Linked DNA regions of Kluyveromyces lactis. The protein of the gene in region 4 interacts with the protein of the main gene of each other region in a biochemical or structural test. Links are inferred from orthologs where the notes say so. Each region holds a gene or a part of one and is shown on either strand. Other genes may lie near its edges. The genes, in order: PSF2, MCM2, MCM4, CDC45, SLD5, MCM7 and MCM6.

Region 1 (3,270 bases), on a different chromosome or scaffold from region 4:
GTCCAAATATACGAATTGCTTGTCCTTTGGCCCTTCGTATGTCAAAATTGCAATACCTTCATAATCTCCTATTACGATTATGCTCGCTATGTTACCATTGATCCTGCCGAGATAATGTGATAGGTCCAATGACCTTTTAAAACTTGAATTGATTATCCCATTCAGTTTATTCAAATCGAGTTTTTTCGATACTGGGTCAGATTTGCCAGTTTGAGTAGCTTGCGATGGTGGTAGACCTATGGAATTATCATCGGTCAAAGTCCTGAAGTCAAATATATGGATATCAATCCCCTTCTTGAAAACTGTAGTCACAAGAACTGAATCGTTTGCGGAAGTGACTTCCTCTTCCACGTTGGAAGATGGAAGCTCATACCAGCTTTTCGATTGAGCCGCAGCCGATCTTTTGAATCGAGGTAAAGATGACGATATCAATGAACGATCAGTCAAGATATTATATACCAATGGGTTATTATCTGATAATTTGGACCCTGCTAAAATAGTGGTAATTAGCCCAGTAGACGAATGTGGTAGAACTGATAGCGTTTTATTCATGATTTCAAGGTCTTCCATATGACATTTCAGTTGATCGCTGTTACTAAGAATCTTATCCTGATTCAAAAATAATTGTAGAGATTCTACCAAATTCTTCTCAGTATTATCCACTTGAATAGATTCTAGTTTCTCCAATTGATTTTGATAACTGTTTCTCAATTCTCGATATTCTTGTGACAAATTTACAAAGACATGGCTGTTTGTATGTCTTTCCACAGACGGCAATCCACCATACTTGCTGATAAGGAACACCTTGTCGATATTTATGGGCAAGTTACTCACTAGAGATGATAAGAATCGAGATGGATCGCCAGCCAATTTCTTAAAAGCTTCCTTCTCATGGTACTGATATGGCTCAATAATCGGAATAATATGCGGGTTCAAAATCGGAAGTTTTACGTCAATTGAGCCACGTTCACCGATGGTAATGGGATCTAATACGATTATTGACTTCAGACTCTGATCATGCAAATGATTGTCCAAACGCTGACTTTGGTATGATATGTCTTGGCATAGCGGGTCTACTATTAAAATTGGTCTTAGTCCGAGTGTTTGAATTCTTGACACAGTCTTGCTAAACCCACTAAGTACGTTATCTGAATATTCGGACAAATGTCTCAAAAATACAAGACAGTAGTGATGATTATTCTCATCGGTATATTTGTTCAAATAGTCTTTCGCTTCCCTTTTAGTCACTGTAGAATTCAAAACGCTCATAACCAAACTCCTGCCATGAGCATTAGGTTGATGGTATCTGACCTCTGTGGTCAAACACCTAATCCATGTTTTGATCATAGCACTAGCCCACAAAATGTGCCTTTGGACGTTATATGATGAGATCAAACCATTTATCTGCAAATATGGAAAGTGTATAAAACCATCATTTATTCTAGTTTTATCAATGAGTCAAGTCATCAGAGAAAACTGCCAGTTTAAAGCTTTAGTTAGTCTTTCCTGTTTTTGTTTTTCCTGTGCTGGATTTCAATGTCAAGATTGAACATGGAAAAATAATTGAAGCACAGATATCGATTGGTCATAGTCGCGCATTGAAAGCACTATGTAAGGAAGTAGTGAGCTTGAGGACACTATAGATTAGCAACTCCAACCTGAAATAGAGATGGCACTACCGAGAGATCTATCAATAGGATTTTCTCCCCAAGAGATACAGTTTTTAATTGAAAATGAACCGACACGAATTATGCCCAGAATCACTACGAGGAAGACCAAAAAACAGCTCGCGAAGGATCCTGGCGCCCAATGGTCACTGATCACATGCGATGATTCTACGGTAAATAACATGGTTGCAATGAATAGTTGCGAAGTCACGTTATGGCTGGCTTTACTGTTAAAACAACAGGGAAAGTGTAACGTCGTGGTACCCAGTTGGCTGACGTTACAACAGCTGGAGAAGTATTTAGATTTTGAATTGAAAAACCCATCACGATTCTCCAATCTACCCTGGAATTGGCTAGTGGTATCGTCACTGCTGTTTGCCAGATGCAGCGATGATTTTCAGGATCCAGTTCATCTACTGAGATCTAAGGTCCAAGATCTGCGAGAAGTTCGTTTGGGAAAAGTCAACAAGGGTTTGCAGTACCTGAACGAATCGCATTTACAGCTAGAGAACTTGTCCTTGATGGAAATCAATGAGATGAGACCCTATGCGTGTGGTATCATGGACAAACTGAGGACAATTCATGACTCCAGTAATGACACCACGTGATCAATAATATAATAACCTTTTCCCATTGAATCCAAAATTCCATTCACGAGGTTTCCACCAGTCCCTCCCCTTAATCCAACCTACATGGTTATATGATAACACAGTTGACCATAATCACTAGAAAAGGTCGGGTTACCATGTAAGTACAGGCCTATCAAATAACACATATATTACATACCCTACATGTACCCGCTTCACAGTTTGTAGTAATTCGAAACAACTGATCCATCCCGAACATTCACGCACTGCTTAGTTCTTATTTACGTTTGTGTCGCAAACATGCCTCGCGGGCATGCCTTGCGTGTGCACCCCACGTTCTTGCTTCATCATATTTGTTGTTCTTCAGGCTATTTCGGTTCCTTGCATTGAACTACGGGTATAACTTACAGAAAACGACACAAGGGGGGAACACAAACACGGAAACGAATCACGTTTCTTCAATATTACGTTGGGAAAAGAATTTACCGTAGATAGAAAACAATAACAGTAGAAATTGAGCAGGATGAACTCATAGAGAGCAGCATGGTTGCGTTGATAACTTCCCGCTACGAAGACATTTTACCCGTAACTCTGTGTACCATGTCATAAATACAGCTCAGCATGTTTATAATATATATATATATATCTTTAGGTATATAATAAACCCCGGAAGAGAACAGAGTTGGAAACTCGGGAAATAAAACAAGTGACCTTTGATTCAGTTTATTTGCTCTGTATATAACATGATATTTATAGTAGTTTTTGCTTCCATGGCCATTCTATTTTAGATAGAGTAACCAGCTGAATCCAGTGTTTATCTAGCTAGTTGTTAAAGGAACACGGAATTTTAAAAAAAATAAAAAATAAAGGGTTCTCATTCCTGTGCGTTATCTTTGTTTTTATTTTAGATTTGGGATCTGTCGGCTTTTTTAGCGGGTTTAAAATCTAAAGGGTGGTTAAAGGGACGAAAACAAGTTCAACTTTGAAGAAGTATAACTACAATTCGCCTGTTTTTT
Region 2 (5,151 bases), about 670 kb from region 4:
ATCCGAATCCTTACCAATCATGAAACAACATATGAACTCTGCCAGAATCGTCCCAGGTAACATGGAAATTCTAAAGAAGTTGTTAACTGAAGCTTTCCCAAGATACGAAGACTTAACAGCGGACAACGTCGATCCAGAATTCATTTCCAAGACTCAAAAACTGAGTGCAGGATGCACTTTCATTAAAGTCGATAGAAATGATCCATCCAAGGAAGATTTGTTTTTACCAGTTTGGAACGGATCAAAATGTATCAACTTGATGGTTTGTAAAGAAGATGTTCACGAATTGTTGTACAGAATTTTCGGCATCGAAACAACCAGCAAACAAAATCCAAAGGCTGATCATATGGCCAAGAAGGCCCAAGAAGCAGCTGACGCATCAGCTAACTCTTCGAAGGAAGAGACTTCTGAGAAAGAAGAAGTACCTGCTGTAACTGTCACTGAAACATCCACGGCTGAATAAGTTTCTTCACTCCACATTATCAGTTATAGACTTCTACATGAAATTATAAAAGCGGTATTCCTTTGAAGGTTGAAGTAATCATTATTTAAGTCTATTAGTTACAAATTTGTATATTATGCTAATATAAGCGATGTAGTACTGCATCTATAATGGAAAAAATGGGAACGGTATATTGTTGTTCTGAGCTTATAGAATTGTTTTCTTCCGTTGGAAATGTTGAATCTTGATTTCACATTGTTCCCATAGTATAAACAGCGAAAGATCTTTGTAGTTGGCGACGTACACTAATCTTTTGTGCACCCACAAAACTGTCCACTGTTACTTTAATTGCTCTGTCTAAATCCCATGAGGAAACGAATTCTGATAATCTCATTTTCGCGAAGGCTTCAGCAATTCTTAAGATAGATTCCAAATGACGAACGGTGATCGGGAATGAACCAGTAGTGACACTCTCTCGTCTCAAATCAGCATAAACCCTACTCACTTTGTCCATATCCATTTGATGTAACTTAGGGTAAACTTTAGTTCTTGCGTAATGAATATACTTCATTAGCATATGCTGAGATATGGGCGAAATTTCTTCTTCTCTTTTACGAAGGTTCTGCAAGCGTCTTTGTTTGGCAGATAACGGAGTTTCTTCATCACCCTCCCCATTAGGATTTTCCGTTGGAACGTTACCATCATCAAAATCATCCAGATCCTTGTCTGGATGAGACCTGATATGTGAATCAACGACGAAAGATGCTAGCCGATTATCACTTTCTTCATCAACCAAATCTCTTACCACGCAGAGGATATCGAATCTTGACAAAATTGGTTCAGTCAAATTGACATTTTGTGATAACGGAAGAGTAGAGTTGTAACGACCACCGATCGGGTTGGCGGCAGCTAAAATAGAGCATCTGGCTTGTAACGTGGTAACGATACCTGCCTTAGAGATGGATATACTTTGCTGTTCCATTGCTTCGTGAATAGAAGTACGATCCTGATCGTTCATCTTATCGAATTCATCAATCAAACAAACACCCTTATCCGCAAGCACTAACGCACCACCTTCAAGAGTCCACTCTTTAGTTATTTGGTCCTTCCTGACAGAAGCTGTCAAACCGACTGCAGAAGCACCTTGACCTGTAGCGAAGACAGCTCTGTTGGCAGTTTTTTCCACGTATTTCAAAATTTGGGACTTGGCAGTACCTGGATCACCGAGAAGTAGAATGTTTATGTCACCACGGATGGAATGCTTACCGTTAATGTTTTTAGGAACACCTCCGAATAAAGAACATGCAATTGCTGTCTTGATATCCCTGTGCCCATAAATAGATGGAGCCATTGATGAAATGATTTTATCGATGATTCCTCTGTCACGAGACATCTTTCTGAATTCACGCTCTTCGTCTTCTGTCCAACTGAAGGCATCCAGCCCTTCGTGTTCATCACCATCATGCAATCCGCCTTCTCTTCTCTTCACTGAATTGGCTTCCAGTACTGTTGCGAAAACGGGGAACCCGTTCTTTGCATTCAAATTACCGTCATATGTGTTCTTATAGATTCCTGTCACTTCGACTTCTTCACCAGGTTTTGCGATATCAACCAAGTCCCACAACAAAATGACTTCTCTGTGACGTGGTAATCTACCGGCTGGAACAGACCCTGGTGATTCTTGGATGGTGATTCTTTGGTAATTACGGTACAGAGTTTTTTCCATATTAATTCTGAAGGGACCCTTAGATCTACAATTTGTGCAGAACGAGATTTTAATTTCTTCATTTGAATCCTGATAGTAAGGCCCAAGTGTGGCACCACATTTCAAACAGTTGAATTTAACGTATTTAAGTTGTGGGAAGACACCAGTTCTTCTTGTCACGACACCACTAACTCTAACTAAAGAATTCAAATGAGTTTCACGTAAAGCACGTAAGTTCAATATACTAGGGAAATCCGAGATTCTTACGTGAATTTCCGAGTGAATACGAGTATAATCGGGATAGTGTAGTTGTGTAGCTTCCATAGCCACTGTATCAAATATTTTCAACATTTCTTCGGGAGATTTGGCTAAAAATAGGGCTAGAATGGCCTTGGATTCTACCAAATGTCTATAATTAACTTCCAAGGATTCAGAGTTCATTTCACCGAGAGTTCTGATACGAGCACCGTAAACGGATTTACCTGACTCATCAGTATATTCAAGCAAAAACGATTTCAACTCTCTGGCAATAGTACGTGATACATTCGGTTGAGTGATCCATTCAGAATAACTTGATGCCTTCACATCTGCCAAAGATTCCAACGAGAGCTCATCTGCCAACGGATCTATATCCATATCTGATAACAAATCATCATCTGCTTCTTCGTATTGACGTCTTCTACGTCTCCTCTGTACTGGAAGACCCATAGCATCCAAATTATGCGCACCAGCTCCTTCGCCATCATCATCATCAAGGTATGCTGTGTTCCTATGCACCAAACGATCTCTCTCGTTCAATTGTGCATCGATTCTTCTACGCTCAGCGAGCGACAACTCTTGCTGCTCCTGGTCGTCGACTCCTCTTCTTTCATACGTATCATGTTCTGTGTTTGAAGCGTAATCACGGTACATATCATCACCCATCAAATCGACTTCATTCATTCTTTCTTCCACATCTTCAAGATCCTCTTGAACATTGACAGCTTCATCTCCATCGTTATCTGGATTCTCAAAATCTATCTCATCTGGAGATCCAAGCGGGTCTTCAAACTGTGGAGAACTAGGGATGTTAGCGCCACCTTCACGGGGTTGTGTAGACAAAGAATCATCCTCATCCTCATCATCATCAGCTCTTCTTCTTCTCCTCCTTCCGTTATTTATTTCATCATTATCAGACATCTTGAAACACTTTCAAAAACAGCAATTAATAATCTTCAATTATCGCACTACCAAATCCGATCACACAATTGTCTTCCTGATGCTTCGATGACCTACTTGTTACACTTTGTTTCAGACCATTGGGATCTAAAGCTATCTTAAGATCTTAACGTTTTTTCCGGCTTTTTTCTTCAGTTGAATGTACGAAAATGATCTTTAATTGAAACAATAACATTTCCTAAAATGGTGTTTTGCAACGATCTGACCATTGTAGAGCGTTGGGGCTAATAATACAGCAATGGCAATATTCCAATAACACCAATCGGTAGTTCTCACCTCTTTTAGCTTTGCAATCTACATTTGATTAGTATAATTTCTTTATTATGATGCGTGGATCACGTGATAATCACATGGGATCATACGCTTAAAAACCGTACTTATAGCTCCAATCACACGATGAAGCAACACAATTGCAGGTAAAGTATGGATGTTGAAGCTCTGGAATGATGTGATGCATTTTGTGCCCCATATTAGATCGATTTCCATCCGGTAACCGTCCAAATGTGTCGATATTGACGTAAAATCATACGGAATATTGATTCATCGACATGGAAAATCTCTTACTATCAATGAAATATCCCCAAATTTAAACATAAGGAACACGTCAAGTTAAAGGCAAAAAGGGTACCTTCATTCACGCATTTCTTACTACAAGGTGAGTTCTGGCACTTAAAGATAGTCTTGTTGGTGTTAGGGAATGAGCGAGATTAGCGTTAAAGAATATGTGAAGCGACAGGAGGAACTGGAAGATGAAGCAAATAAACTGATGCCATATGATCCAAGCCATTGCACTTATTCCATGGGCCCAATTCGACAGCCAATATTCGCATGTCGTACTTGCAACAGTATAGGAGTGTGCTATTCATGCTCTATTCAGTGTCACAGTACCTGTGACTTGGTGGAACTTTTCGATAAGAGGAATTTCAGTTGCGATTGCGGTACAGAAAGGCAGTTTGAACACGGTGAGAAGTTCACACCTTGTAATATAAGAAAGAATACTACACCAGATATACCAGACATGAGTAACAGGTATGGCCAGAATTTCAAAGGGTTATTTTGCTCTTGCCATAGAGAGTATGACCCGAATACAACGACAACGATGTTACAATGCGTCCTTGGCTTGGAGTGCAATGAGGACTGGTTTCATGATCACTGCATTCTAGGGATAGAAGAAAACCCAGACCCGGTTACAGAAGACAGAAAGCTACCAGGATTCCCTGAACTGTCAAGTTTCGAAGGATTTATCTCATGGGTTTGTATTGACAAGTACAGCTCGATATTTGAAAAGCTTTTATCACACGAAGCGTGTGATAAAATCATAGCACATAAAGTGTACAGGAGAGATCTGGTATCGGATCAGAACTCCGAGGGAATGACATTGGAAAGTACCAAGAAAAGAGGGCTAGAAGAAATGGAAAACTCTTCGGGTTCATATTCATTATTCTTGAAAGAAGGATATAGGGAAGAATTTAAACGATTAAGGGATTCACTTCCAGAAGGTGACTCCTTGAAAAGCTTTTTCATGCACACAGCACCATTCCTCACTTGTGAAGAGAAAGTTTATGAACCCCCGGAGGAACAAGAGCAAGGATCTCTTGTAGAAATGGGAGAAACGGCCCTAGCTCAAAACTTGTCTCATCAGCAAACTCTAGCCAGTCTAGTCGCTTTCCAGCAAATAAAATCAAAACTAACAGATTTCCTACGACCATTTGCGGAAAACGATAAGGTCGTTAGTGAATCTGATATCAAGCAGTTTTTTGATACTCAGAAAAAATGAACTCTTGTT
Region 3 (4,959 bases), on a different chromosome or scaffold from region 4:
TAGTATTATAACTGTCGTAATCCTTACTCCAGTTGGCATTCTTCGCGTATAGCCAAAGGACACTTTCCAACTCGTCTTGCGAATCACCACCGTGGTTTCCTGTGTGGTCCATACCGTGATCACCCATAACAACGTATAACGTGTTATCATCTGCAGTGCTTATAATTTTCCGCAATAGCTCATCAACTTGAAGCTGTTTTTCCTTCATGGTAAAATGATTAGGACCGTACTTATGTCCGACATGATCAACTCCTAACATATGTCCGATCAAGATATCGTATTCAGACCGTTTCTCTTCATTGAAATAATACTCCTCTAAGTAAGAAATAACCCCATTATCGACTGTGTCTAAATCCCAAACGTTCAAGGATTCATATGGTACACTTTCTGGAGCCAAATACGGATTAAATAGGGCATCCCAAGTGTCATCACCGGCAAAGAATATTTTCTTGTTATGCAGATAAAGCTGTTTTATTAAGTTATCCTCATCGATCACATCACCATTGAAATTCGATCCTGCATCTATAAATGTAGGCAAGGAACCTGTTGTCAATCCCTTTAATCTTTGTAGCGTAGTTGTGGGAGGATCAGCCAAAAACTTCAACAAGACAGAATCCGTTGAGTTATGGGCCGTCTCATAAAGAACTTTCAAATTGTTATGATAATTAGGGTTGTACTTGGCATGATTTTCATCTACTGGAATAACGAAATCAAACCTCAATGCGTCCACTATTAGTAAAACCATCTTATCGTATTTAGCTTCGAAGGGAAGCTGGGGATCAAGTTCTGCAACGTTATCCAACACCGTCCTTGTTAAAAGGAACCCTTTTGCGAAAAATGCTATGGAAATAAACTGCAATACAGCCAAAGAAGCAAGTAATAGTATGTACAGAGTGTGCGTAGACTTGAACCTTGATATCCGATAGCTCATTCGACTGGACCTCGTTTGAGGCCCCATTATGCTGAGTCTAATTCTCTCTGCCCGATCTCGTTCATCACTAACAGTGGGATTCATCACTTCTTACCAGTTTCCAAACGGGACAAAAACACAACTAAACGAAAGTACAATAAATTCACGTTGAATAATGATATTGTGCAGAAGAATTGAGTCACACTGGCGAAAGTGGTTCGCTTATCTCTCGCCTCTGACAGAGTTCTTGTTACCACTTTATTTCATTTTAAAGGTTAATTTCTTTTAAAACAGAACAATTGTACATCACGTGATCATTGTTCCCTCTTCAAATAATGCAACTCCAATTCTGATCGGCGAAGATACTGACCATTGAGCTGAGTGGATCCATGGTATTATCAACGGTGGCAAGGGCTCATTAGAACCTTGTTTATTTCAATTTGTTCTGTTTTCTTCTTTAGGAAATGTAACTATGTAACCAAAAATGTGTAAAATCTTAACGAGTTTCACTTAGTTCACTCAAAGCATCTCAAACAAGATAACATTATCAATTGAAAGGTGATATATCAGGGAACCTAGGATTATTTAGCTGCTTAGTAGGTTTGATAAAATTGCTGAATTAGCATTTGGATAATAGTGGCAGTATATATCCATAGAACACAGGAAGACAAACGGTTAACAATATTATGTCCTCACCTCCAGCTCAACAACCAAGTTCACCAAATTTGTTTTATGATCCTAGCTCTTCTCCAGCTCCTCATGGTACACAGGATTCCCAGGCATCTCAAGACCGAGGCGTAGGCTCTTCTCCGTTTCACTATCCTTCGTCTTCGTCAAATGCCACGCAAGAGACGGCTCGCGCCGCTCCTAGTAGCAGTGGTTTAAGATCTAACAATTTGAGATCTGATCTATTGAACTATTCATCCTCTCTATCCTCAAGTGCAAGAGAGGGAAGACACTCTAGATCTAGAAGAGGCGAAATTAATGCATCTGACTTATCATCTCCCAGAAGAATTGTCACTTTCAATAACCTTTCCTCATCGGATAATGGATTTTCATCATCATCGAGACCTGCATCTGAAGCTGCTGATCAACCTTTGAAGATCATCTGGGGTACCAATGTTTCGATCCAAGAGTGTGGTAACAGTTTCAGAGAATTTTTGATGTCTTTCAAGTTGAAATATAGAAAGGAGCTAGATGATCAGGAGATTTTCATCAACGAAACAACAGACCAAGAGCTGTATTATGTGAATCAATTGAATCAAATGAGACAACTCGGTACTTCAAACTTGAACCTTGATATCAGAAATTTACTGGCTTATAAACATACTGAAAAGTTGTTTCATCAGATTCTCTATTACCCTCAAGAAATTATAGCTATTATGGATCAAACTGTTAAAGATTGTATGGTATCCTTAGCACTTGATAATGGGTTAGAGAGTTACTTGAATGAAATTGAATCGAAGTTGTTCAAAGTGAGACCATATAATGTGGAAACCAAAAAGGGTATGAGAGAGCTTAATCCTAATGATATTGATAAATTGGTGAGTATCAAAGGTTTAGTTCTAAGATCCACACCTATTATCCCAGATATGAGTGTTGCATTTTTCAAATGTAACGTATGCAATCATACTGTAGAAGTTGAGATCGATCGTGGTATTATTCAAGAACCAGTGAGATGTCCCAGAGTGGTCTGTAATAGCCCAAACTCCATGGTTTTAGTTCACAATAGGTGCACTTTCCAAGACAGACAAGTGATAAAGTTACAAGAAACGCCTGATCTAGTCCCTGATGGACAAACTCCACACTCTGTTTCCCTATGTGTATATGATGAGCTGGTTGATTCGTGTCGTGCTGGTGATAGAATTGAGGTTTCAGGTATCTTTAGATCTATTCCAATCAGGTCGAATCCAAAGCAAAGAGCCCTCAAATCTCTATACAAGACATACATCGATGTGGTTCATATCCAAAAGGTGGCTAAAGATAGAGTCGGTGTGGACACTTCTACTGTTGAACAACAACTCTTGCAGAACCAGATTGATAATGTGGAAGAGATTAGAACTTTGAGTAGCGAAGACATTAGGAGGATCAAAGAAACTGCTCGCCGATCGGATGTCTATGATGTTTTGTCACGTTCCATCGCACCAAGTATTTACGAGTTAGATGACGTCAAGAAGGGAATCTTATTACAACTCTTTGGTGGTGCTAATAAAACTTTCAAGAAAGGTGGAAGATATAGAGGTGACATTAATATTCTACTATGTGGTGATCCTTCGACCTCTAAATCTCAAATTTTACAATATGTTCATAAGATTGCTCCTCGTGGTGTTTACACTTCGGGTAAGGGTTCCTCTGCTGTTGGTTTAACTGCTTATGTTACAAGAGATGTGGATACTAAGCAACTGGTGTTGGAAAGTGGTGCTTTAGTTCTCTCTGACGGTGGTGTGTGTTGTATTGATGAATTTGATAAGATGAACGATAATACTAGATCAGTATTACATGAAGTTATGGAACAACAAACAATCTCTATTGCAAAAGCAGGTATTATTACAACTTTAAATGCTAGAACTTCAATTCTGGCTAGTGCCAATCCTATCAACTCTAGGTACAATCCTAATCTTCCTGTGACTGAAAATATTGATTTGCCGCCTCCATTATTATCAAGATTTGATCTCGTTTATCTAGTGCTTGACAAGGTCAACGAAGCGTCTGATCGTGAACTCGCTAAGCATTTAACCAGTTTATACCTGGAAGACAGACCGGATTCTGTATCTCAAGGTGATATTCTACCAGTTGAATTCTTGACAGCCTACATCAACTATGCAAAACAAAACATTCACCCGGTAATAACTGAGTCAGCCAAGACTGAACTTGTGAGGGCATATGTCGGTATGAGAAAGATGGGTGATGACAGTAGATCAGATGAAAAAAGAATTACCGCAACAACAAGACAGTTAGAAAGTATGATTAGACTTTCAGAAGCTCATGCTAAGATGAGGTTAAGTGAAAGAGTTGAACTTGAAGATGTGGAAGAAGCAGTGAGACTGATAAAGTCTGCCATCAAAGATTACGCTACGGATCCTAAAACTGGTAAAATTGATATGAACCTTGTACAAACTGGTAAATCGGTTGTGCAAAGAAAATTGCTTGAAGACTTGGCGAGAGAAATTTTAAAGATATTGACAGAAAGGACAACAGACACAATAAGTTTCAACGAACTAAGCAAGCTTATAAACGAACAATCGCAAGATAAAGTGGAGAGTATCGAATTATCAAACGCTTTGACAAGATTGCAACAAGAAGACAAGGTAGTAATCTTAGGAGAAGGTCTAAGAAGATCAATTCGTTTGAATGGCCGTGTATGAATAGATATTATCAAGTCTAGTTTTTCTGAGAAAGCCTCTACATAGTTTGCAAAGGGCTAAATGAGAATAACGACCTTCCGCATGTTCTGCTTATATACATACGTTCTGTGTATATATCATCGTGAAAGTGTTTGACATTATAATAGCATATTTAGTTAGAGTAGCCTAAAGAAAGGTCCCCCGAGATCCATCTGTTGATCATTTCCATAGTAGCTAGTGGTTGATAATATGGAACCGTATGACCTGCTTCGAATACTCTGAGGAAAGTAAAGGGTCCGTGGTTTTTGACCTCACCAAACTGGACGGATCCGTTCAAACTATACCATGGGTTTAAGGGTAACGTTTCATAGCTTATATGGTCCTTCCATGTGAGAGCATCGGTCCACGCCATATTACCCAACCAATTACATATGTAGTCTGTATCGCCGGCATATATCAAGACAGGAATGTTCAAATCAAGCAGTTCGGTCACATATTGCTGGAATGGCCTGCTATTATCACCCGTCAGGAAGAAGTCGCTCCCAACTGAAGTATTACATCCGTTATACGAGCTCACTTTCGTACCTAGAGCGTCTTGCACAAATTCTTGGTTCAAGTAAGAGCGGATATATCCTAAGGTCTTCCAACAGAGCCCCGACTCTGGATCTTCACAGGGACCTCTTATATCGCATGGATTCACAGCAG
Region 4 (4,506 bases):
GTGAACCCAACTGGCAGGCAAGAACAATGTCTCGATTGCAACTAAATGATGCTGATCGAATCAACTTAGAGCATGTTACAGACGTTAGAAGAAGGCAGCGGCTCGAATTCAAGAAACTGAGAGCTGAATTTGAAGCCAAGAAGTTAGAAATGAGACAAAAGGGGATTGTAGACGAACAATTCATTGAACAAGAAAGGTTATTCTTAAAGAATCAAAGAGATAAAGAATTAGCTTTTGAAAAGGACTCGATGCAAATACGTGACGAAGATTTAAGATTAATAGAAGGCAAATCAGTGATTCAACTAGAAAGCTTGCAATTGATGCCCGTCGAGGCTATTTTCCTCTCTTATGCAGTGCCGGTATTGAAGATCACATTGCAACAATTAATGGTTTCGTTGGTACTGGAACCGAAAAGTTTCCAAGACATCAAGAAATTAATTCATCAATATGTCGCGTACCATCATTACAGGTCCAAAGGGTGGTGTGTACGATCGGGGATAAAATTTGGTTGCGAATACTTATTATACAGAAGAGGACCCCCTTTCCAACATGCGGAGTATGGAATCATGGTTTTGGATGCAAACCAGTCAAATGATTACACTTGGTATTCAAGCGCTGCCAGAGTCGTGGGCGGAGCCAAGAAACAGTTTGTATTATGCTACGTTGAACAACTCATACCTGAAGATGACTTAATGGAACTTTGGAAGCAATCAAAGTACGATGAGCTTTTCAGAAACTTTAAAATCCATGAATTGTTATACAAAAGATGGGTTGCAGGTAAGAACAGAGATTAACTGTTCCGAACCGGTAACGATCTTTTCCGCGAAGAACTCAAACGAGTAAAAATAAACCCATGCTAGTTAATTGCATTAAATACAGTAATGGTCTGTATTATATGTCTCTATATATATTATCAGTTTATGTTTGTAATAGTATTATGGCCGATACAGAAAGAAAGATCTCTCATTCTAAATCTTGCCGTCATATACATCCAAGATCCATCCACAATCTCTGAATCCCTCAGTACGTTGAGCTGGTCCCATTACTGGATCATCATAAATCTCTACCAGTGTTGGATCATGTGTTGCTGGCTTTGAGATGCAAATTACCTGACCGTTGGGTAGATTGCATTTCAATTGTGAATTAGGGAACGGACACGCACAATCCGACTTCTGTCTCACACAATCCAATGTCTGTGGACATAAATAATGCGGACAGTCATTATCTAGGAACATTTGCTGGTAAGAGCCAACATCCCGCTGTTGCTGCTGTTGCTGCTGTTGCTGTCTATTCTGGTGACCTGAATCGAAAAAGAATCCAGACACAGCTTGTAAAAAGAATGCTGAACCAATTATTGTTCCCAGTAGTTTCATAGTAAGTTAAGATCTTCGTATTTCGTAATACTGCAATATGAAATATCAGATAGCAGTGTTTAGTACCTATAGTCTTGTAAATCTTGGCATCTCTTCGAATATTTCGAATATTTCGCATGTATGCCATTTATGACAAGTAATCGATTTTCCAAAAATCTTTAAACGTGTAAGTATTCCAAACCAATATTTTAAAGAAATTTATGTAAATACATGAGATGACTAGCTCACGAGGGAAAAGAGACTGCAAACAAAACCACTGCAGGCCATCAAAGTGCCAGGTAGAGGATGTATATTGGCATTGCTGAATTTGTGGGTGCTTATGATAAAATTCTTCACCGATGCAGTTCTCATTCTTCATGTCAGTTGGTGATTTTTGTTTCGTGTTTAAACATTGACGCGTTATGTGCATCGAAGATGCTATCCAGTCTATTCAAGAAGCAATTGGTACAATCACAGTTAGTTCCCGTGTTTGGTTATTCGGAATTGAAGGATCACTATCAGAGACTGGACGAAAATATCAATAGCGTTATATTTGTAGGTTGTGGAGGGATGGTAGATCTTGAATCTTTTTTAGAGATTGATCCACAAGAAAACACGCAGGGTCCATTAGATGAGATTCAATTAGATAAGACTGACGTTGTTCAGAAATTTAAGAAGGAGATATTTGTGCTTGATTGTCATAGACCGTGGAATTTGGATAATTTATTTGGTTCACAGTGCATAACCTGTTTCGATGATGGAACAGTCGAAGAGTCTTTGACAGAGCAAAAGAAAGCATACTACAAACTTATAGAGATAGAGAACGAACTTGGCGATGAATTGGACGATGACAGTGATAGCGAGGAAGAGGAAGATGACAGGGAAACGCAAAATGAGGATAAAGACGACGATGACGATGACGATGACGATGACGATGACGTAGTATTGGGTAAAAGGTCCAGCGATGAATTGAATCCAAAAAAATCACATAAACAACGAAAGCGAGAGTTTCACAACTTAGAAAAAGTGTTACAGGAGTACTATTCACAGGGATCAACGGTGCTGAACTCCCTTTCAGTTCAGATATATTCTCTTTTGTCTGGTATTGGTGAGACAAATCTAGATTATTTATGGTTATGCATTCTAGGAGTGTCCTCTTTGGATAATTCCTTCCCGTTGGTATACAATCGACTATTACCACTTCTGAAAGATGAAGTAAAAAGATTGACACCTAGTGAAAAAACTAAAACGCCAGATTCTTTGAATCTTGAGATTCGTCCCGATTACAGTTTATTCCTTCTGAGGCATACATCCTTATATGATAGTTTTTATTATTCTAACTACGTCAACGCCAAACTGTCACTGTGGAATGAAAATGGCAAGAAAAGACTGCATAAAATGTTTGCACGCATGGGTATTCCGCTGAGTGTTACACAGGAAAACTGGATATATATGGACAATAATTTCAAGAGAGATCTGGGCGTACTTTTCGATAAAAATCTCGATAGATACGGGTTACAAGATATTGTACGAGATGGGTTCTTGAGAACTTTCGGTTACCGAGGATCAATAAGTGCCAGTGAATTTGTCGAATCGATAACCGCTTTACTTGAAGTTGGCAATGCTTCAAACGCACTAGAAAATTTGACAACAGCTAATGTATCTCAAAAAGATGATACGAACCAAGGTGATGAAGAGAATAGGGAGTACGAAGAAGCTGAAGAGCAAAAAATTAACAGAATACTGAAGACAAGGCAAAAAAAATGGATTGCAAATTTTTGGTCAAGTTGGGATGTATTGGACAATAATATGGATATTTTATCTCAGGGGATTAAGCATGCAACATTTTTACAAAGAAGTGTATTTGAAACTGGAGTCGCTATTCTGGAGAAAAGATTAGTGAAACATTTAAGGATTTACAGGCTATGTGTTTTACAAGATGGACCAGATTTGCATTTATATAGAAATCCATTAACGTTATTGAGGCTGGGATCATGGCTCATTGAATACTATGCAGAAAATGACGAAAAACAGTTACTTCCACTGGTATTGGCAACTTTAGATGAGACTTCTGACACATATCTTTGTGCAGGGATTGCGCCAAGGTACCCAAGAGGGTTGGACATTTTACAACAACAACAGCAGAAAACTTTAAATAATTTCACAGTGGCATTTCAACAAATAGCAGCTGAGACAGGTGCCAAAGTAAGGATTGACAATTTCGAGACATCAATTATTGAAATCAGGAAAGACGATCTACAACCATTCCTTGAACGTTTGACATTAAGCGGATTGATTTAGCACGAAGACACAAACATATTAATTTAGGCATATCATGAGGTGAGCTTTCGGCTTTAAATCTAATATATATATATATATTATGTAACAATCTAATCAGATACCTCGAAATTGACACTACTATGGGATGTCCAAGCTGTTTGAAATCTGTTAGGTTTACCATTGATATCACGTGATCATTAAACCAATGCCACAAATGTCAGTCAAAGGTAAGCATTCTAAAATACCCACAATAATTTGTCATAATTATAGGCAAAATGTTGCCAAGAACCAGCCTTCAACCCCTCAACTGTAGCTGTTCAGGCTCTTAAGTTAATACATGGAGCACAACATAGATCTTCCGCGTCTGCCACCCTGGAAAAGCCCGCAGTTCCGCAGGATCAAACATGTCAAACACTCAACAGATGAGGATTTCAACGTTGGGATGGGCACATCGGCAAATGTATTCAGCGACTCTTCGCTCTACACTCCGTTGAATTACAAGAATGAACGCAATAGAAACAGGGATATGAATGGGAAACAAAGGGCACCAGGGATATCTGAAAACACTCTCAGTTTCAAATACGATCCGTCACCTTTCATACTCCATGATAATATACTAAACAAGACAAAAGTGGATCAATTGCAACAACAAGAGGTTGCCATGAGAAGACTTTTTGATAAAGATAGAGCAATACCTGAATCCAGGCTCAATGTACCGTATTACCAAACGCTATGGAGAGAACAGCTAGATTTAATGGATGATGACATGCCAGAAACAAGTCCGAAATTCGATTACTCGAACTCATCTCAAGATCTATACAAACAGCTCCGGCAGTTCCAAACAGCATTTGTCCAAAATGAGGCGTGGAAGTAC
Region 5 (3,484 bases), about 810 kb from region 4:
AAGTAAAACAAGGGATAAATCCATTCTTCATCGGTAGGTCAGACGAATGCAACTGTAAAATTGATGATAATCGTTTATCTAGGATACATTGCTTCATATTGAAGAAAAGACACGCTGTCGGTGACAGTATTTATGAATCTCCAGCTCAAGGTCTTGATGATGTATGGTATTGCCAAAGTGGTACTAACTCAAGCTATGTTAATGGAAAGAAAATCACTCCGGGCACAAAGATCTTACTTCATGATGGCGATGAAATCCAAATTATATGGGATAAAATCAATGATGTCACTGTTTCTTTCCAGCTTGAGTTCAATGATACCACTGGTTTGTTCCACGAGGGGAAGCTGGATACCAATGAGAAAACAAACAAGACACTTCTACATAAACAGACACAGGAGGAGTTAGCTTTAGTCCCTAAGTTTATGGAATTTATGAAGTCTAGATCATCACAACATGCCAAATCTAATATAAACCAGTCCTCTTCCAGTAACATAGATGCCAACTCGCAAAATATCGAGGAATTAGATTCTGTCGTTGAGATGAACTCGACTACAGGATTGAAAAGAATACATTCAGTGTCGTTATCTCAATCTCAACCGCAGACAACCAAAAGGGCTAAGCTTGCCCAAGCCCAGAAACCAGATATTGAAGGATTTCTCTGAGCTGATCATATGCTTGCCGGATGGGTTTTGCATACAGTAAATATGAAAAATAGGTACACTTTGAGTATGCTAGATAGACTTTTCAACGTTAATTGATGTAATACTAATACAAATTGGTTCAAAAGCACTATAGACCAGCAGTCAATAACACTAGGTAGAAAACATGCTGTGTTCGCAATAACATTGTTGAGAAATTATTGCTGGCAAACATTCGTTACAAACCTATATTTTTCGAAGAGTCATAGGTTCAGTAATACTGTTCAGAATTTTCATTATATTAAAACTACTCGTCCCTCAGTCATGAGATCTCGTATTACACTATAACGTATTACGTATACTGCCCCGATTAATAAGTAAATTTCTTCATTTAAATCTTCAATAATCACTGAGTAACAGTGTTTTCCATCATCATCGGTCGTTAATTTCGAATCAATACCACTTTCGTCAACTACCCCACCACAAACTAGTATAAATACAGTTTTATTCCAATCGGGTTCATCAATCATACTGATGGAACCCTCAGTATCGTTAACGGCTTGCAGTTCTTCTGGTAAGTGCTTAAGTACTGCGTTGTTAAACAGTTTTAGTAATATGTCAGAATGCTTCATATGGTACTTCACCTCTTCTTTGGACATCAATAAATCTAGTCTGCTGAGGCCCGCATTATTGGGTAGTTCGGATTGTTGTCTTAGGTAAATGCTGTATTTGTCAATTTTGCTTAACCGGCATCTGATGAAAGATCGAACTAGGAACTTCAATCTCTCAAGTTCTGCTTCCATGCATAAAAGTGGTAGCTTTGAATCGACAGTTAACTCTTGATTATCTTCTAAGTATCCCATTGATAGTGTTTCTATTAGTTCAATTCTTTCTTGAATCCTTATTAATGTCCTAGTCATGAGATGATGTGGATATGGAAGCAGCTCCGGACTCATACGTTCATTCTTCCAATGTGTAATTAGCTTTTGATAGTCGTCAATTTTGTTAAACTGTGTGGGAGCCACAGGGTCAACCGCCTTATCTGCTGGTCTTATCTGAGAGACATCATTGCCTTGAGTTCGATCGCTTTGGTCTGGGTATGAAGAAGCATTTTGTTCAACAGCTGTAGTGTCCCTATCCAGCTCAGCTAGAATGTCGTCAATATCAATGCTCATTGTACTAAAGAAATATGATCCTACCACCAGGACTCAAAGCGGAGGAAGTGTTCGGATAGTACACCGGGGTGGCTTTTATAATTGCTGTAAAGGTGTATTCAGACAAGAAGGACTTACTTGCAATGTGTTATCCTCCAACCTATTGTGAAATTCATCCAACTTACTGTAACATCGTATTTTTGATAATACTCAAATCTTATTTATCATCTTTTGTTTACGCTTAACAAATCCATACATGAAGCAAGATAAAACGCGTCAGTGAAGAAGCGCTCATCAGCAACACCAACCTCAGGGGGAATATACCCAGAAATATGGACAAGAATGAGCGCTTACAGTTGATGAAGCAGAAAATAGAGGCTCTTCAGCTGCAAAGGAAAAAAATTGATTCGAAACATGAAGAGATAGCAGATTGTACCCTTCCGTTCATTTCCCATATCACCAATTCCATAAATAACAACGAATCTGAAGTCAAGAAAGAAGTAAAAACTGTTGAGATCTCAGTGCAAACAGATGATGTAAATGAGTTTGAATTGAGCGCTGTTAAGGAGGCTGTGATAACATATGATATCGGAATACAGACAGATGAATATGACGGGAAACATGAAATTATGGAAGATGGACATCTACCTTCCCAAGATCTTATAGAACAGCAAGCATCGACTTCAGATATTACAGAGACCAAGGAGGATAAAGAAGTTGTTGAAAAGGATGTGTTTGATTTCGGAAATGTCGTTTCAGCGGAAGACTACGCAACGTTGAAGAAAGAAACATTTTCACTACAGGAGACTATAGAAGCGGCTGCGCTCAAGTCATCTTCTCATCAAATCGCTGGTGATGGGAAAATAAGCATGTATTTATCAATTTCACCAAAAGTTGCCATTGATTCAACTTCTGAAGCAAGGGTCATTTCCAGTGACGTCTTAGATAATTTACTGGTTACTGTGATTCATCTTGTAACCAAATACGTGAAAAGCTCTTTAGTTCAAATCACACACGTCTCTTCTGGTGAGGTACTTGATACAGTTTTATTCCAAGGTCAGAATGTTGTACGGAGCAAGTTTATTGATAATCCTAATTCTAAGATTACCTCCGTCGTTCTTTCTTGCTATACAGGAAAACTCATCTTATATGAACTGCGAACAGTCAAAATAAATAATAGCTTTCAGGTGGAAAGAAATATTGTTTCCACTAATTATCATCACTATCCGGTACTTTCAATTATAATTCCAAAATTCAATGACCATAGCATCCTGGCGGCCAGCACCAATGGCCAACTTAAGCTGATATCAACCTTAGATTTATCATTAAAAGAGGATGACGATGTCAAAATTATTCCTATCCCAAGGACGGACTTATCATATTCTACTGAACAGACTAAAAAAGATAACAAGTATTACCAACACCTATTGATAATGTCGCTTTATGACGAACTGAGCATAATTAGTATGCTACTGCTGCCATCTGATCCTTCTTCCATATATCTTGGTTGCGAGGATGGCTTTATTTACAAAGTGTGTCAATTACCTCTAAAAGGTGATAACAAAGGGTGTTACAAAATTAGTGAAGGAAACAATGGTTTCATACCAAACTTCACCTCAAATGTGGATGATGCTTCTCTATTCCACGAAGGTCCAATTACTGGTATGGTCGCTTGTGCTGGCATTGATGATC
Region 6 (4,250 bases), on a different chromosome or scaffold from region 4:
CACAGAGTGGGTAGCGAAACCTGAAGCTTGTCTCTTGAATATCGTACTGGCAATCATCTCGTAATAGGTGTATATGTATATAGTTTGAGTTTTATGTTTGTGTTTAACCTCGTGACAATACACATACATATATTTAAATCCTAATATAAAATATACTCTATCACAAGAACCGAATCTTCAACTATTCACATTTCATACTTCTTATATATAAAACTAGAACCGAAAACCATCTTAGTGTAACGATACTAACACTCTGTGTGCATATTAATCTCGGGCTAAACGAAGCATAAAAAAGTCAAACCAAAAACAGTTAAAATGCTAAAGATAACGAGGTAACTGTCAGAAAGTCAGTCTGAGACAGCTGTTCTAACCTGATTTCCAGTTTTAAGGTACATTACAGTACAATGCAGATACTCAGCTAGGCGAATTTTTTTTATTTTGAGAATTTTTTGTTGGCTTTTTCTTTTGCATCTTAGAAACGTGTGTAGGACTGAGAGTTTTGTGCGAAATCTTGAGTGTGTGGACTGAGAAACGGTGAAATAAATGTGGTCTGACTAAGTGTCATTGTGAACGACGCCGACACATAGGGCTGTGCCGGGGCCTGTACCCTTTTCCACACAGTAGTAATAATAATAAACATTAGCTTCGGTGATGTTTAACGGCATAAACTGTAAACTATTGGTATGCCGGTCCGTATGTAGTGCATTTTTGCAACACGTAAACTGGGAAGGAGCTAAATTGATTTTTTAAATTGATTTCTCAAATTTAAGGGTGCGGTTTACGCGTTTGTTTACGTTTTTTGACGTTTACGTACGGTACAACGCGTAAAATGTAAACAATTTATGGGGGGCGGGGAGGTAATAAATTACACCTGGTTTACGCGTTGCGATGACATACCTCTCGTTTACCAAGGGCTATCCCTGAGGGCAGGGGCGGCGGTACACTTTGAGCGAGGGGAAATGTTGAATTTCAGTTTCTGAAACTGGGGTGTCCATTTACGAATGCCAAATTCCTATACTATATCCATTGTCCACTCGATTGGCCCATTGAACACTTGTTAGGCTTAGATAATGCAATGTTAAGGTTGTTTTCACCCAATTTTTGAGGTTACTGCCTCTCTATACCGGGGGTCCAGCCAAGCCAATGTGGTCGTTTATGAAAAGTACTGAAAATTGAAAAATTGAATTGCAATTTCAAATTAAAAATAGACTATAAGAGGGAGGGTAATTATGTTGGTATGTTTTGTCACGTGGTTGTGTCCGGGTAATGCGTCTTTCATCTTCTACCCGATTAGGAACTGTAAAATAAAAATCACTTTCGTTTTTCCAATTGATCTTTGAAACATTTACGCATACACTTTCTGCTAATCTTCAACAACTTCTCCGTTATCAGTTTTCCTACTGTCTGCTGCCACTCACACCAACCAACGATTCAGAACACCACCAGTACCATGGCTTCATCGGTTTTGCCCACACTGGATCTCGGAATTGACTACGAGGTAGCTCAAGATAATATCAAAGATTTCTTGATCCATTACAAAGAGGAAACTATCGGTTCTACTGGGGAGAACGATAATGACGATAACTTGGATCCTGAAGTTGGTCAGGGCCCAAAGTACTTGCAACAATTGCAACATATTGCCAATAGAGAACAAGATATCTTGTATATCGAATTGGACGATGTGTACCATTATCAGCGCACCAAGCAATTTGAAAATTTGTCTTCGTCAAATACAGCAGCACAAGGCAAGAACTTAGTTAACTTACACCGTATCATCATGGAAAACACTAAGCGGTTCACAGAACTTTTCTCCAACTGTGTAGATGAACTATTGCCGCCTCCAACGAAAGATATCGATTACGAAACAGATGTATTGGACGTCATTTTACACCAACGAAGATTGAGAAACGAAAGAAATATCTTGGAAACTAGAGATGAATTCCAACAAATGGCTCAAGGGATGGGCGAAGAGTCTCAAACCAATTTGGATCAATTGGCCACTACGGACGCTGATTTGTTCCCTGCTGCGTTGATTAGGAGATATCATTTGTATTTTAAACCGTTAACCAGCAGATCCACTAGGAAACTGAAACCAATGTCAGTAAGAGAAATTAAAGGCTCTTATTTGGGAAAATTGATTACAGTCCGTGGTATCATTACCAGAGTCTCTGATGTGAAGCCAAGTGTCACAGTCAACGCTTATACTTGTGATCAGTGCGGTCATGAAGTGTTCCAAGAAGTTAATAAAAGAACTTTTACCCCAATAATAGAATGTCCCTCTGCCCAATGTTCCGAAAATCAAACTAAGGGACAATTGTTCATGAGTACTAGGGCATCAAAGTTCAGTGCATTCCAAGAATGTAAAATTCAAGAACTATCAGATCAAGTGCCCATCGGGCATATCCCAAGGACATTAACTATTCACATTAATGGGCCATTAACTAGATCCATGATTCCAGGTGATGTGGTAGATGTTACTGGTATATATCTACCTTCACCATACACTGGTTTCCGTGCTTTGAAAGCTGGTCTATTAACGGAAACGTACCTAGAGACACAGTTTGTGTACCAGCATAAGAAAAAATTCGCATCTTTCCAAGTTGATGATCAATTGAAAGAAAGAGTAGCGAAAATCGTCAACCAAGGTGATGTTTATAACCGTTTGGCTAAATCAATTGCTCCAGAAATTTACGGTAATCTCGATGTTAAGAAATCTTTATTGTTATTATTAGTGGGCGGTGTTGAAAAAAAAGTCGGGGATGGTCTAAAAATCAGAGGTGATATTAACATTTGCTTGATGGGTGATCCTGGTGTTGCTAAATCTCAATTATTGAAATCTATCTGTAAAATTTCTCCGAGAGGTGTCTATACAACTGGTAAGGGTTCTTCTGGTGTAGGTCTAACAGCCGCCGTTATGAAGGATCCAGTGACTGATGAAATGGTGCTAGAAGGTGGTGCCCTCGTCCTTGCCGATAACGGTATCTGTTGTATCGATGAATTTGATAAGATGGATGAAAGTGATAGAACTGCTATCCATGAAGTTATGGAACAACAAACCATTTCAATTTCTAAGGCAGGTATTAACACTACTTTAAATGCCAGAGCCTCCATATTGGCAGCTGCTAACCCGCTATACGGAAGGTATAATCCAAGGTTATCTCCACTTGAAAATATTAATCTACCAGCAGCTCTTTTGTCTAGATTCGATATCATGTTTTTACTACTCGATATGCCAAGCAAAGAAAACGATGAGAAGTTAGCAGAACACGTCACGTACGTTCATATGTATGACAGGCAACCTGATTTTGGTTTCGAACCAATTCCTTCGAGCGAAATGAGAGAGTATATTGCATACGCCAAGACTAAGAGACCTGTGTTGTCAGCTGATGTCAATGAACACATAGTTCTATCTTATACAAGAATGAGACAAGACTCTAAGAAAGCGTTGGATTCTAAATTCTCGTTTGGGCAAGCAACACCTAGAACTTTACTTGCAATTATCAGACTATCACAGGCCTTGGCAAAACTAAGGCTCAGTGACACTGTGGAAATTGAAGATGTAGACGAAGCTTTGAGGTTGGTAGAAGTCTCTAAAGAGTCATTATACAGCGACCGCAAGAACCCATATGAAGATGAAAACCCAACAACCAGAATTTACACAATTATCAAGAAAATGGCGACTGAAAATGGTAGATTTAATAAAAGATTACCGTATGATGCTATTGTAAGAACGATTAGATCAAGAGGTTTCACTATGCTGCAACTGGTAAGCTGTATCAAAGAGTATGAGTATCTTAATGTTTGGCATCAAATAGAAGACGGAAACACCTTGCTATTTATTGACGATATTGATGATACAACGGAAGACAATTCTGATATAACTAACCCTTCGACGCAAAGGACACCGGATGAAGATGTCGATATGGAATAATACCTGACTATCTGCATACCACTAATCTGTTTTGATCCAATAATGCCTTTATTCCTTATTTTAGTTTTAAACCTAGTTTAACGACAAATTTGTATTACTATATACTAACGTTTAAGTAACTTCTAATGTGCCTCTTCTCCCAGATAGACTGAACGATGCAGAAGTAATCACAGTCTATCTTTCAAAACCAAAATTAATTTGTCGAATTCAAAATCTATCTATTTTGTGCATAAACCTAGCTTATGCCATCTACTACTTAGTCTAAGGTAAGTTTACATATTTGTTTACAACTTCTGAAACCTCAGAGAGTAGTTCTTGT
Region 7 (4,879 bases), about 900 kb from region 4:
TCATTATTGTGATGCAGAATTCAAAATGAGAGGGTATTTAACTCGCCACATCAAGAAACATGCCATAGAAAAGGCATATCATTGTCCCTTCTGGGATGCATCTCTACCTTCTGAGAAACGTTGTCACTCGACAGGTGGCTTCTCCAGAAGAGATTCTTATAAGACCCATTTGAGATCAAGGCATTTCATTTATCCTGATAATGTTAAGAATGTGGACCGTGTGAACTCTCATGGACATTGCGGCCGTTGTAAAAAACACTTTGATTCGACAAATGAATGGATTGAACATCATATTGAAAATCGTGAATGTGAAGCTATTTTGCCAACTTTCAAGGGTAACCTGAAGAAGAGTAAAAAGTGTGGGAAGTTGAAAATGATCATGACCTCTGATGGACAGTCACGTTTCATTTCCAACCAAGCAACTATCAGCGAAGCCAAGGTGCCTATCAGCAACTTCATGCCAGAAAATAGGAAGAAGTTATCGAGTGAGTATTCTAAACCGGCTTCTGCCTCCCCGCCCATCAAACAAACCATATCTGACCTGGCTTTGGATAACACTTTTGCTCTGGCTTCAATACCACTAAACTACAATGGAAATATCAATGGAAATATCAATGAACATAACGACAATCAGAATTACGGTCATTTCGAAAACCAAGTGTATGGCAACGGTGTCCCATCTCTCGCTCCCTCGAACTCTGTCCCCTTCACAGGACAACCACAACTAATACCTCATTCGGGATCTCAAAATACAGCTACTCATTTACGCAAATGTACACAACCATTCGATGAATTCTCCTCATTGAACAAATCACCAGTTGAAGATGCAGCTTTGGACACCGTACGGTCTATCTCATCCCAATCCTCCCATGAACATACTGTTCTCCATAAAGAAATGAACTTCATATCTACCGATCAAAAGTCACAAATAAATCCTGATTGGGAAGTACTCCCCCTCGACATCGAGCAAGCAGGCATGTCTATGGAAGAAGAAGTGAAATTCACGAATAACTCGAATGAACCTAAGATTAATACTACTTTACAAAGACAAATGAATGAGTACGCTCTGGGTGAGAGGCACTTCAGAGAAACTCAGCAATTCATGAACTTTTTCAATTATACTTACAATTACCAAGAATGATTGAATCTTTTTCCATTCGGCTTTTCAGTGGACCTATGTCCACATTAACATTTTCGGTTTATTTTATCTGGTTACATTTTTTTCTTTTCTTTCGATTTTAGATTCATTTTCACTTCACCATTAATGCAACTGACTGTCAGGGGGGCTATTTTATCCCTGGCCAGCTTTCTAAAATCCTCGCGTCCATATACTTATATCGCTTAAATAAGATGAATTCTTACCTACGTATCATTAATTTTTATTATCAATTCACCGATGTTTTATCTTCTCCCTATCGAATCAAAAAGAAAAAATTCCATTAAATTGAACTTTGCTGCATTGGTTATCGATATGTTATGGTCGATAGTCAATGGTTTTCCTCGTGTTATACCTCAGTTAACTAATTTTGGATACTTGCAATACCTCTTTAGGAAAAGTAATATTGAATCGCCTTAACTCAGAAATTAAAAAAATGATTTTACATGTTGAAACACTTAAAACATGATCTTCAATGTGAAGGGCATCCAGGTTGAACGGCTCATCCAAAACCGGACATAGTTGGAGCAAGCTGAAAAAATCAGCAACAATGTCGGCACCATCAAGTCCTTTTCAACATGGTCAGCAATCATCCCAGCCTCCCTCTAGTGTAGGTGCTTATGATAGTTCACAATTCGATGATCAGTCGTTAGGAAACAGAACTCCCCAGTTTCCATCTTCTTCCAGAGGAGTGTCAGATGGAAATAGACATTTCGGTACTGATGACACTAGGCAAGGCATTAATTCAGAATCACAAATAGAGGCTATGGAAAATGATTCACAAGAAATTACTCCATTAGCCGGGATCAGGCAGAAAAACTTGAATGCCATCAAAAAGGTTGATGATAAAACTGGTGAAACTGTAAGAGAGGCATTCGAACATTTCTTGTCAAATTTCACCGCCCTCAATGATGAAACAGGTGAGATGGAGAAGGTTTATAGAGTCCAAATTGAATATATGAGATGGTACGAATTGAATACCATATACGTTGACTATAAACATTTGGCCGAGGTGGAAGACGGAGCTTTAGCGGTTGCTATTTTACAACAGTATTACAGATTTTTGCCATTCCTTTTATCTGGGCTAAGAAATGTGGTGAAGAAGTACGCTCCTGGATTATTATTAACATCTGACTCTGTACTTCCTTCTCAATCTCAAGAGAATTCTCAGGACCGCTCTTCGCAAAGAATAGATTCATCTTTGCCAACTTCGCAGGCTGCCACCGCAGGAGGCACTGCCCCATCTACCATTGCCACTAATCCAGATCAGGTTGAACGTGTTTTGCAAATCAGTTTCCTGAATCTCCCAACTGTCCATAGAATCAGAGATATTAGGGCTAATAAGATTGGTTCTTTAATGGCTATTTCAGGCACAGTCACGAGAACTTCGGAAATTAGACCAGAATTATACAAAGCCAGTTTTACATGCGAATTGTGTCGAGCTGTTATTGACAATGTGGAACAAGTTTTCAAGTACACTGAACCAACCTCTTGTCCAAATCCAACATGTGAGAACCAATCTTTCTGGTCATTAAACGTGAACAGGTCCAAATTCTTGGATTGGCAAAAGGTAAGAATTCAAGAAAATTCCAATGAAATTCCATCCGGTTCTATGCCAAGAACCTTAGATATTATTCTTCGTGGTGACTGTGTCGAAAGAGCTAAACCAGGTGATAGATGTAAATTTATTGGTACTGAAATTGTCGTTCCAGACGTTAGTCAACTTGGTTTGCCTGGTGTTAAAGCAAGTTCGACTCCAGATTCTAGAGGTATCTCACGGACAACGGAAGGATTGAACTCAGGTATTTCTGGGCTCAAATCATTAGGTGTTAGAGATTTAACTTACAAAATATCGTTTTTGGCATGCCATGTTGAAAATGTTGGTACCAGTTTCAATGGTAGTAGGATTAATGAGGAGGACGCCGATAAGACATCCAAATTTGATTATATTAACTTGAGAAACTATCAAAACTATGAAATGGCGGCAGAAACTGATCAAGAAATTTTCCTAACAAGGCTTGATTCTGACGAAATTAATGAATTAAAAGAGATGGTGAAAGATGAGAATATTTATGACAAACTGGTGAAATCGATTGCACCAGCAGTTTTCGGGCATGAAACCATTAAGAAAGGTATCCTTTTACAAATGCTTAGCGGTGTTCATAAAACTACTGTAGAAGGCATTAAATTGAGAGGTGACATTAATATTTGTATCGTTGGTGATCCGTCCACCTCAAAATCTCAATTCCTAAAATACGTCTGTAACTTCTCTCCAAGAGCCGTTTATACTTCCGGTAAAGCATCTTCAGCGGCTGGTTTGACTGCAGCTGTGGTGAAAGATGAAGAAGGTGGTGATTTCACTATTGAAGCTGGTGCGTTAATGTTGGCAGATAATGGTGTTTGTTGTATCGACGAATTTGACAAGATGGATATCGCAGATCAAGTTGCTATTCATGAAGCCATGGAACAGCAAACCATTTCGATTGCCAAAGCTGGTATTCATGCAACATTAAATGCCAGAACTTCAATTTTGGCTGCCGCTAATCCCGTCGGCGGTAGGTACAATAGGAAACTGACTTTAAGATCTAATTTGAACATGTCTGCACCAATTATGTCCAGATTCGATTTATTCTTTGTCATTCTTGATGATTGCAATGAGAAGATCGATACTGAGCTAGCTTCCCACATCGTAGACTTGCACATGAAGAGGGACTCTGCTATTAATCCACCATTCTCAGCAGAACAATTGAGTCGTTATATCAACTATGCCAAGACTTTCAAGCCGGTAATGACTAAAGAAGCTCGTGACTACCTAGTCAAAAGATATACAGAACTAAGGAAAGACGATGCGCAGGGGTACAGTAAATCTTCGTACCGTATAACTGTCAGACAACTGGAATCATTAATCAGATTAAGTGAAGCTATTGCTCGTGCTAATTGCGTGGATGAAATTGTTCCGAGCTTTGTCGCTGAGGCGTACGATTTGTTGAGACAGAGTATCATCCGTGTTGATGTTGATGACGTTGAAATTGAAGATGACGATAACTCCCCAGAAGAAAGTACGGAGGGTGAGGGCACAATACCTGCCACACAACACTTCGGCGAAACACTTGATACACAATCTCAGTCACCTTCTCAACCACTGAACGCCGACTCCGAAACGGGGGGTGGTCCTGACGTAGAGTCTCATGACAACGCTCATCACACAACACATAAAGTCGCAATATCATATGATAAATACGTGGAAATGATGAATCTAATTGTACGGAAAGTGGTTGACAGAGAAAAGAATGAAGAACCTGAAATGACAAAAACTGAGATAGTAGATTGGTATTTACAACAGAAAGAAAACGACATCAACACCGAAGCAGAATATTGGCAAGAAAGGAAATTGGCATTCAAAGTCATCAAAAGATTGGTAAAGGACAGGGTCTTGATGCAAATACATGGTCAAAACGACGATCTATCTGCCGATGTCGAATCCTCAAATGCCAAGACAGTGTATGTGATACATCCGAACTGTAGTGTTCTAGATGAAATCACCCCTAACCCACCTCAATGAAAACTTACTAACTAGACTAATTCAACTAAATTGACCATTTGCACTATCTTTGAAATTTGTAACCATAAATAGATATTTCACTTAATTCACATTTACATCTCTACTTTCACATTCACTTTCACATCTGTGCCTTGCTTGAATTCTCAAGAGAACGCCGATCA

What was found.
Region 1: the proteins of CDC45 (region 4) and PSF2 form a complex in vitro, tested with the Saccharomyces cerevisiae proteins (2 studies listed by BioGRID). The link is inferred for Kluyveromyces lactis from reciprocal best matches to the Saccharomyces cerevisiae genes CDC45 and PSF2.
Region 2: the proteins of CDC45 (region 4) and MCM2 form a complex in vitro, tested with the Saccharomyces cerevisiae proteins (7 studies listed by BioGRID). The link is inferred for Kluyveromyces lactis from reciprocal best matches to the Saccharomyces cerevisiae genes CDC45 and MCM2.
Region 3: the proteins of CDC45 (region 4) and MCM4 form a complex in vitro, tested with the Saccharomyces cerevisiae proteins (5 studies listed by BioGRID). The link is inferred for Kluyveromyces lactis from reciprocal best matches to the Saccharomyces cerevisiae genes CDC45 and MCM4.
Region 5: the proteins of CDC45 (region 4) and SLD5 form a complex in vitro, tested with the Saccharomyces cerevisiae proteins (4 studies listed by BioGRID). The link is inferred for Kluyveromyces lactis from reciprocal best matches to the Saccharomyces cerevisiae genes CDC45 and SLD5.
Region 6: the proteins of CDC45 (region 4) and MCM7 form a complex in vitro, tested with the Saccharomyces cerevisiae proteins (6 studies listed by BioGRID). The link is inferred for Kluyveromyces lactis from reciprocal best matches to the Saccharomyces cerevisiae genes CDC45 and MCM7.
Region 7: the proteins of CDC45 (region 4) and MCM6 form a complex in vitro, tested with the Saccharomyces cerevisiae proteins (5 studies listed by BioGRID). The link is inferred for Kluyveromyces lactis from reciprocal best matches to the Saccharomyces cerevisiae genes CDC45 and MCM6.

What each region holds. Positions count from the first base shown.
Region 1 is NC_006040.1:557,603-560,872, reverse strand, and holds PSF2 (DNA replication protein PSF2), read left to right. Parts: upstream 1-1,669; coding exon 1,670-2,275; downstream 2,276-3,270. Other genes in the region: ARG2 (acetyl-CoA:L-glutamate N-acetyltransferase), read right to left, coding at 1-1,347. UniProt on the Saccharomyces cerevisiae protein: Functions as part of the GINS complex which plays an essential role in the initiation of DNA replication by binding to DNA replication origins and facilitating the assembly of the DNA replication machinery.
Region 2 is NC_006042.1:1,165,018-1,170,168, forward strand, and holds MCM2 (MCM DNA helicase complex subunit MCM2), read right to left. Parts: upstream 3,327-5,151; coding exon 693-3,326; downstream 1-692. Other genes in the region: NCL1 (tRNA (cytosine-C5-)-methyltransferase), read left to right, coding at 1-463; KLLA0_F12606g (uncharacterized protein), read left to right, coding at 4,063-5,142. UniProt on the Saccharomyces cerevisiae protein: Acts as a component of the MCM2-7 complex (MCM complex) which is the putative replicative helicase essential for 'once per cell cycle' DNA replication initiation and elongation in eukaryotic cells.
Region 3 is NC_006039.1:1,537,023-1,541,981, reverse strand, and holds MCM4 (MCM DNA helicase complex subunit MCM4), read left to right. Parts: upstream 1-1,596; coding exon 1,597-4,275; downstream 4,276-4,959. Other genes in the region: mannose-ethanolamine phosphotransferase GPI13, read right to left, coding at 1-1,015; KLLA0_C17490g (S10 family peptidase), read right to left, coding at 4,427-4,959. UniProt on the Saccharomyces cerevisiae protein: Acts as a component of the MCM2-7 complex (MCM complex) which is the putative replicative helicase essential for 'once per cell cycle' DNA replication initiation and elongation in eukaryotic cells.
Region 4 is NC_006042.1:1,834,162-1,838,667, reverse strand, and holds CDC45 (DNA replication initiation factor CDC45), read left to right. Parts: upstream 1-1,658; coding exon 1,659-3,653; downstream 3,654-4,506. Other genes in the region: tRNA splicing endonuclease subunit SEN2, read left to right, coding at 1-794; LCL2 (Lcl2p), read right to left, coding at 969-1,373; KLLA0_F19800g (uncharacterized protein), read left to right, coding at 3,970-4,506. UniProt on the Saccharomyces cerevisiae protein: Required for initiation of chromosomal DNA replication. Acts at the origin of replication. Also has a role in minichromosome maintenance.
Region 5 is NC_006042.1:1,023,307-1,026,790, reverse strand, and holds SLD5 (DNA replication protein SLD5), read right to left. Parts: upstream 1,814-3,484; coding exon 935-1,813; downstream 1-934. Other genes in the region: serine/threonine/tyrosine protein kinase RAD53, read left to right, coding at 1-662; PAC11 (dynein intermediate chain), read left to right, coding at 2,125-3,484. UniProt on the Saccharomyces cerevisiae protein: Required for DNA replication. Functions as part of the GINS complex which plays an essential role in the initiation of DNA replication by binding to DNA replication origins and facilitating the assembly of the DNA replication machinery.
Region 6 is NC_006041.1:2,065,526-2,069,775, reverse strand, and holds MCM7 (DNA replication licensing factor MCM7), read left to right. Parts: upstream 1-1,450; coding exon 1,451-3,931; downstream 3,932-4,250. Other genes in the region: KLLA0_E23211g (uncharacterized protein), read right to left, coding at 1-129; AAH1 (adenine deaminase), read right to left, coding at 4,193-4,250. UniProt on the Saccharomyces cerevisiae protein: Acts as a component of the MCM2-7 complex (MCM complex) which is the putative replicative helicase essential for 'once per cell cycle' DNA replication initiation and elongation in eukaryotic cells.
Region 7 is NC_006042.1:935,457-940,335, reverse strand, and holds MCM6 (MCM DNA helicase complex subunit MCM6), read left to right. Parts: upstream 1-1,706; coding exon 1,707-4,718; downstream 4,719-4,879. Other genes in the region: KLLA0_F10109g (C2H2-type zinc finger protein), read left to right, coding at 1-1,141. UniProt on the Saccharomyces cerevisiae protein: Acts as a component of the MCM2-7 complex (MCM complex) which is the putative replicative helicase essential for 'once per cell cycle' DNA replication initiation and elongation in eukaryotic cells.